2 linked regions of the Daphnia pulex genome follow. The protein of the gene in region 2 interacts with the protein of the main gene of each other region in a pairwise test. Links are inferred from orthologs where the notes say so. Each region holds a gene or a part of one and is shown on either strand. Other genes may lie near its edges. The genes, in order: androgen-induced gene 1 protein-like and RING finger and CHY zinc finger domain-containing protein 1-like.

Region 1 (3,250 bases), on a different chromosome or scaffold from region 2:
GACGTTAAAAAAAAATCATTGGTTCTCACCATCTAATTTATAGTTTTAAAAAAGGACTTGTTTTGATAAGTGATTGCGTCCGTCCCCATTGCTTAACACACATTAAACTCCCCGTTCATTAATTGTATAAGAAAAAAAAGATCATGCGTCTGGTTCAGTGCTCCGAAAATTACATTATTGTCATGTATGATGTATTTTTTTCTTTTACAAATCGAGAAAAAATAACAAAATTGTTGGCCCCCCGTTGCTTGTTTCATTTTAAAAACCCCGATTACAAAAATTGGCTGCTGTATCTCTATGTAATTCGTTCTCATTCAAGAAATCTGGTCGTGTACGCTCCGACTGCCTTAACTTTCTTCAAAAAACACTTTCTCTCTAGCTCCAAACCCTTTCATCAATAGTGAGTGTGCTCTGTAGCACTTGGATTGTATATAAATACAATTTGTAAATTTATATAACTTCGTTGTCTTTATTGTAAGCGTTTTGAGAGACGAAAGAAGAGATAATCATTGAGCCTAAAAAGAATTTATTTTCAAATGTCTGAGTTAATTTCCATTTATGTCTACGGGACCCGCGAGTCTATTCGTGGCAATTGGAGCTCACGGAATGTATTATGCATTAATTTTGTTTGCGTTTATTTTTGCCTTCTTTGGTGGCTTTTGGTAGTTTGTTCTCTTTAACGATTTTTTGAGAAGACTTGACTGTCTTAGAAGTTGGTTCACCTGTCATCAATCGTTCAATTCAGGTTAATATCTTAAAAACTTGTGAATTATTATTAGCAGATCTTACCCCAGACAGCATAATGGAGTTTTTCTCCAGAAAAATACATAAACGCCGATAAAACCATGAGACCGACTATAAACAACAAACGATAACCCCAGTGCAGGACCGCTAAAACGGGATAAACCCAAAAATCGGTTTTGAAAGCGATGACAAATACCCTATAGAGAATGTGAGTTAATTAAAACACATTTCTGCATAAAATTGAGTGAAGTTTCTATCCATTACCAAGCAAGATATCCAAGCATGAGTACTGAGAGTCCTGACATTGCATGAGATCTCTTTGGAAATGTTTTTGGAATGAATAGCAGTTCAATAAAATCCAGAGGAACAATTGAAGTGTGCATGATGTGGTTCAACCAACCTAAATTTATTCCCCACAATCAGCACTCCAAATCCACATTCACAACTTAGAAATTAGTACCTGGAAAGAATGCATCAAGAGCAACTGGAAAAACCAATTCACGGTTAATGGCCCACAAAGCCCAGAAAGTGCTTGCAACAAACTGTTTAAGAAGAAGAAGAGGTAAATTAAGGTTTTGCCCTTTATATAATTCATACATCAGATGTCTACCATTCCTAAGGGGAAGACAAGTGATCCAAAAACATAATCCCTTAGTTTTTGAATAACAGTTCGATCTTTCTTGTTGACAAAGTTGCTGCCAAACAGATCATTTAAGAGAGAAAATGAAAAGTAGACTAGTTGAAGTACCTAAAATAAGAAAGATAAGAACTGGTAACATTACAATCCAACTTCAAAAGAAAAAATAAGAGTGTAAACAAGTTACCATGTTCCAAAAAGTTAAATACTTCCATCTTCCAGCAAAGTCAATTGAAATTTTTGAATAGTCTTCAGGCAACTTTAATTCCACAAGGTCATAGTAAATACCATAAGCAAAATTTATGGCAGCAGCCAAGTGAAAGAGGAATATAACTGAGTTTTGCATTGTGATAAAAATGTGCACTGTTTCGTGAAGTCTTTGATTTTTAGACAATCAGAGCAATAGCAAGTGAAATTTTCTTGATAAAGAGATTCAGGAATGGCTGGAAAATAGTACGTCCGTCTCAACCCTTATCTATCCATTTTCATAAGATAGAGTCCTACACAGCCATGACGGCACACAGAACAACATTTAATCGATCGCTGTTGATTCTGTCAAATATCAAAAGCTTGATTATTGAACAATTTTGATAACAGATGGCGTTAGGCACGAAATTAACAGACGAATTTTTGGCGCTACTAGACAGACAGATCTCCATGCATGAATACATAGACATAGCCGGACATAGTAACATAGTTTCCCGCTTCAGAATTCTGTTTGTCTGTCTCTGTCTTCGTGATACAGATACACACGTGTTTGTGTTTAAGTTTTGAGGGCAATATGTGCCTCTTGTCGACAATTAATAATTTATTGATCAACGAGTTCATTGTAGATGCATAGATTGTACTCCGATTTTCTTTCCTCTCATGGTTCTTTGATTGATTGCCTGAGTGTGGGACAACGTTTTCCATTTTAAATGACGATGGATCACGAAGTAGCGGAGGGCGGCTGCAAAAACTGCAGCGTTTTACGAAACGTAAGATGCTTGAACATTCTACCATGTTATAAGCCAGTCTTTAATAATCATATTTGTATTACTAATAGGAAATTGACAAAAGAACGGTACAGTTGGAGAACAGCAATGCCCAGCAACTAGCTGGTTTCTTGACTCTAAAACAGAAAATAATCGGCACTGAGTATGAAGTGTTTTACTTTCATTTTACATACATACTAAGTTTCAATTTGTTTCAGTAAATTAATTCGAGAGTACCAGTCCTCCAAAGTGGAATGTGATATCCTAACAAGAAAGAATGAGGAGTTTGTTCATCTTATTGACCAACTTCATCGGGATTTGAATACTCGTAATCAAGAGTATGCAAAAGTTAATGGTAGCATTGAATTGTTAAAAAAGGTATTTTCCTTTCAATTCTTTTATGGCTCATAACTTATCAGATTTTATATTTAGGCTAATGCAGATTATGAAATGAAATTCGAAGAGTTGAACGATGAAGCTCAAAAATGGAAGTCTCAAGCAGAAGCAGGAGAAAACTTCACATCTCAGCTTGTTGCAAAAGTTAAAGTTCTGGAGAAATATGAAGAGGAAGTGAAACACACTGCTTCTGTGTCCAGAGAGTGTGAAAAATTGGAAAACAAAGTCAAAGTTATGAAAGGTAAAACATTTTTGTTTTCTGCTGTTTCCTATTAGTTGGTGATTGCTCACTGCCTGAATTGAGGCATATACAAAGCTAGTTTAGGGTAGAATCAGTAAAAATTAAGCTTCTTCATCATTGCTGGTAAAGCTGGATTTACTCGAAAAGGTACTGGCGCTCATTCGTATGAATCCAGTGGTTGTAGCGTTATAAACAGAATTCGGTAGCTCCAAAACCTTTTGAAAGAAGCATTTTAAATATTAAAGTTCGCACTTAATT
Region 2 (3,931 bases):
CCATTATATTCGGAAATTTGAAAAAATCAAAAGACTAACGGGGTTGGGACTTGGGAGTCAGATTTTGTCAGTAATTGTATTTGGTTTGATTGAGTGGATATTTCGAACGTTCTATCAATAAAAAGACTCGTGTTCCAATTCTTTGAAAGTTGCGGGTTCAAATAAAAATGTCTTCCAAAGAAAGAAAATGAGAGTATAAATTGATCGATAATGACGCTGCGCTCCTCATCTGATAACCTACAGCCAACGGTCTGTAACACGTGGGTCACTTATCTTTCTCGTCGAATAAAAAAACGCACATGAATTGAAATTGAAGGCCTTCTAAACAAATTTACCCAACAAAATCTTAAAAATTTGCAATGCTACTATAATCTCCATGCGAGAGAAGGAAAAGGGGATGACAAGGTCGACATTAAAAAAAGTTTTCGTGAATAAGTAAAAAATCTTCAATTGTCGCAGCTATTTATGTGCAACAGGTCACATTGGCTTACAATCTTTCGTACATTTCATAGAAAATTAAATTACCAGAGTATGCACAACCTCGCAAAAAAAGTCGTTTAAGTGTTTTTTCCTACCTTCGTAATGGTCACACGTGGGATTTGATGTTATCATGTTGAGGGTCGGCGGTTTGGTCGATTATGGTGTTTTGTCCCCAATTGTTCGGCAATGTTCTTTTCAACTGCTTACGAGATCGATGATTCACAATTCACAATCACAGGAAATGATTATGGCAATAATTATTCAGTCAGAGTTCACAGTCGCGCTATACACACTTTCAAATTCTACTGCCAAATTGTTGAGCATCCGACCTCGTGGGCCGCACGAGAACAACTAAGTTTTTCAAGGACCTTGCTGCCCTTTCAATAGGTAGGGTCATTTGCATATTTTTCTCAATTTGAACGTAAAAAAAAATTTCTTCGATTTTCTCCTTTCCTCCTTTTCTCCTACCTTACCCCGGTCCCCGGCCTTAAGTCCATTAATATTTCAAAACATGCACTCCGATAGACTGTATAAAACAGTATGGCAACATTCGAGTGTTTTGATTTTGAAGAACCGCTTTTAGAAAGGACAAGGAAGGGAGCTAGCGACATCTCGTCACAACAAATTTAAGTTCGTGATTAACCAATTAAAGATTAGAGATGAGAAAATTGGATGAAAATTAACTTGCTGGTTACTCTGGATTCCATTGGGAAATTAGTTTTTAAATAAATTGCTGCACAAACAAGACAAACGTGGGAAGTTAGGAATTTTCGGAAAGAAGTCGACCCAACATAGTTCATGTTCATGCCGCTAGGCTAAGCCCAAACCTACACGCTGTACACTAACTGGCCGAAACTCGTGTTTTCTTTTACACTGTGTACACACACTGCCAGATACTGACTCGTTGGAATAGGTGGAGGAGATAAAATGGCTGAGGAGAATGTCGAATACGGTTGCGAACATTATAAACGAAAATGCAAATTAGTGGTAAGTAGTTCGACACTTTGTTCTTAACCAAGTAATGTTGTAACTCAAGTTGGTCGGGAAATAACTGTGGGCACAATGTCTGAAAAATGACCATGATATCTCCTCGTGAAGATAATGCGGTTTTATAGTAATCCTGTTTAAAGTTGTATTGAGAAGTTAAATACTTAATTATTTATTATTTTACTAAACAATAATTTTGTTTTGTAGACACCATGCTGTGACAAAGTTTATACTTGCCGTTTTTGTCATGATGAGAAGGAGGAACACACCCTTAACCGAAAAAATGTGGATGAAATTATGTGTTCATTGTGTGAAACAAAACAACCAGTTCAACAAAACTGTTCCAATTGTGGTATCCTCTTTGGACAGGTAAAGTATCAGACTTTTTTCTTTTCTTTTTTTTTTCAAAATAAAGAAACCTTGATTTTGTTTTGCAGTATTTTTGTGGAAAGTGCAAGTTGATTGATGATGAAGATAAAAAGCAGTATCACTGTGAAGGATGTGGTAATTATTATTACATTTTAAAACCAATTATATTTAATCTTTGGTGACAACTCCTATATCTTACTTTTTCAGGAATATGTAGAGTCGGAGGAAGGGACAAGTTTTTCCACTGCCAAACATGTGATATGTGCTTACCAAAAAAACTTGAAAATCAGCATAGAGTAAGCATTTTTGTGGGATTCTAATTTATACATAAATTATTTTGGTTTTTAGTTCATTCAATTAGTTATTTTTGCTCTGTTACAGTGCGTTGAAAAGATGAGCCGAACAAATTGCCCAATTTGTTTGGAGGATATTCATACATCAAGAATTCCTTCACACATCCCATCATGTGGTCATCTGATTCACCGAACATGTTTCAATTCATTTATTCATCGTGGTCACTATGCCTGCCCAGTTTGTCAACGTTCAATGATGCCGATGGAATCGGTACTAAAATTTAAATTTATAAAACGAATTATAACGTTACCAATTGTGTTTCCATTCTAGTACTGGCGCATTTTAGACGATGAAATTGCCTCAACCCCAATGCCAGTGGAATATCAAAATTTTTTTGTCACGATTTTATGTAACGACTGCCATCAGGTTAGTCATTTCTCGGCACTAAAGAGTTTTTAAAATGTTATTATAATTAACAATTTTTTTGCAGTTTTCTGAAGTTCCAATGCATCCCCTTGGAGCGAAGTGCCAAAATGCACCATGTGGATCGTACAATACGTGCAGAAGCGGTGGTCCTGTTAATAGACCTGGTAATTATAATTTTATTAATCTAGAGGAACTGCGTACCACAAATCAACTTTTTCTCTTTTTTTTTAAGCAGTCAGAGAACAATCTCCTAACTCGGAATAAATGGCCATGATTATCAAGGGAATAGGATGTTGTTTGTCATTTACTTGGACGGCGGTTTTATTCTGTTGACATGCAATAATTTTATTGGCCATCTACTAAATGGTCGAGTTTGTATTTTAAAGGCTTTTAAATTTTCATCCGTGAATCTTCCACCTTATTCGGCGGTAGGCATCTGGAGCCTGTTCGTGAAATTGGATCGAAAGGTTTTGTGAATTTTTTTCTTATCGTTCAAGTTACTCGTACCCCGTCAGCCATCCTGCTGATGTTTGATACCTGTTTTGTTGCCCTTACCTCGTTGCAGTGGCTAAATTGCCGTCATATTGTAATGCACCGTAGTGAGTAAAAAAAAACATCAGACAAAAACAATGGGTAACATTTAGAAATGACTCCTCGAGTAGTTTGAAAATGGACACTGCCAGAAAAGTTCATATCCGAAATTATGAAGATTCTTCTGTGCAGCTTGTGAGTTTCTTGTAATTTTACATGTCATATTATTACAATTGATTAAGCACTTCTCTTCAATTCTATGTGGAATGTACCTTCTGAACATTTTCAAATAACAATTCTGTATAAATATACGTTGTTACCTTATTCACTGGCCTTAAGCAGTAATTAGATCGTTATTTAATTCTGGATGGCAACAACATACACACGCACACACAAAAAAAAAATTAACAGTGAAGGATTGGGCAAAATGCGTAGGGGATCTTATTAGGAGACCGGTTCAAACGGTTCGGCTATACGGTATACATGTACCAATTGATTATTAGGATCTCCGGGATTGGGTTCTGCCACCAACACTAAACTACCGGGTTCAGCTTGAGCAAACGCGGGATTGGCTTCTGCAAGAGCTGGAGGGACTAGAAAAGATGGAGCCTGGTTAGGAGTTCCAGGAACTTCAACGACGGTTAACCCACCTTGTTCTAAACCAATTTGTCCAAGGGGAGAATTCAGCAAACTGTCGAGTGGAATATTTGAATTTGGAGCAGTAGGGTTAGCATCCTTCGAACAATTTGCTGGTTCCAAAGCATCATTCTCAGTTGGGTTTGCTGGTTGTTCGTCGTCATAATCAAGAGGCTTTACATTCTTTCGTCGCGTTATTTTACCAGAT

What was found.
Region 1: the proteins of RING finger and CHY zinc finger domain-containing protein 1-like (region 2) and androgen-induced gene 1 protein-like interact in binary tests that used the Homo sapiens proteins (3 or more experiments, as listed by UniProt). The link is inferred for Daphnia pulex from reciprocal best matches to the Homo sapiens genes RCHY1 and AIG1.

Annotation. Positions count from the first base shown.
Region 1 is NC_060019.1:10,201,664-10,204,913, reverse strand, and holds androgen-induced gene 1 protein-like, read right to left. Parts: upstream 1,916-3,250; 5' UTR 1,728-1,915; coding exon 1,569-1,727; intron 1,493-1,568; coding exon 1,355-1,492; intron 1,287-1,354; coding exon 1,205-1,286; intron 1,145-1,204; coding exon 1,009-1,144; intron 942-1,008; coding exon 790-941; intron 723-789; coding exon 619-722; 3' UTR 510-618; downstream 1-509. Other genes in the region: dentin matrix acidic phosphoprotein 1-like, read right to left, coding at 3,094-3,207; microtubule-associated protein futsch-like, read left to right, coding at 2,299-2,358, 2,427-2,518, 2,574-2,733, 2,788-2,992. UniProt on the Homo sapiens protein: Hydrolyzes bioactive fatty-acid esters of hydroxy-fatty acids (FAHFAs), but not other major classes of lipids. Show a preference for FAHFAs with branching distal from the carboxylate head group of the lipids.
Region 2 is NC_060018.1:4,447,384-4,451,314, forward strand, and holds RING finger and CHY zinc finger domain-containing protein 1-like, read left to right. Parts: upstream 1-1,305; 5' UTR 1,306-1,407; coding exon 1,408-1,467; intron 1,468-1,674; coding exon 1,675-1,836; intron 1,837-1,904; coding exon 1,905-1,971; intron 1,972-2,043; coding exon 2,044-2,132; intron 2,133-2,217; coding exon 2,218-2,400; intron 2,401-2,460; coding exon 2,461-2,556; intron 2,557-2,620; coding exon 2,621-2,720; intron 2,721-2,788; coding exon 2,789-2,820; 3' UTR 2,821-3,411; downstream 3,412-3,931. Other genes in the region: protein KRI1 homolog, read left to right, coding at 1-38; transcription factor TFIIIB component B'' homolog, read right to left, coding at 3,532-3,931. UniProt on the Homo sapiens protein: E3 ubiquitin-protein ligase that mediates ubiquitination of target proteins, including p53/TP53, TP73, HDAC1 and CDKN1B. Mediates ubiquitination and degradation of p53/TP53; preferentially acts on tetrameric p53/TP53.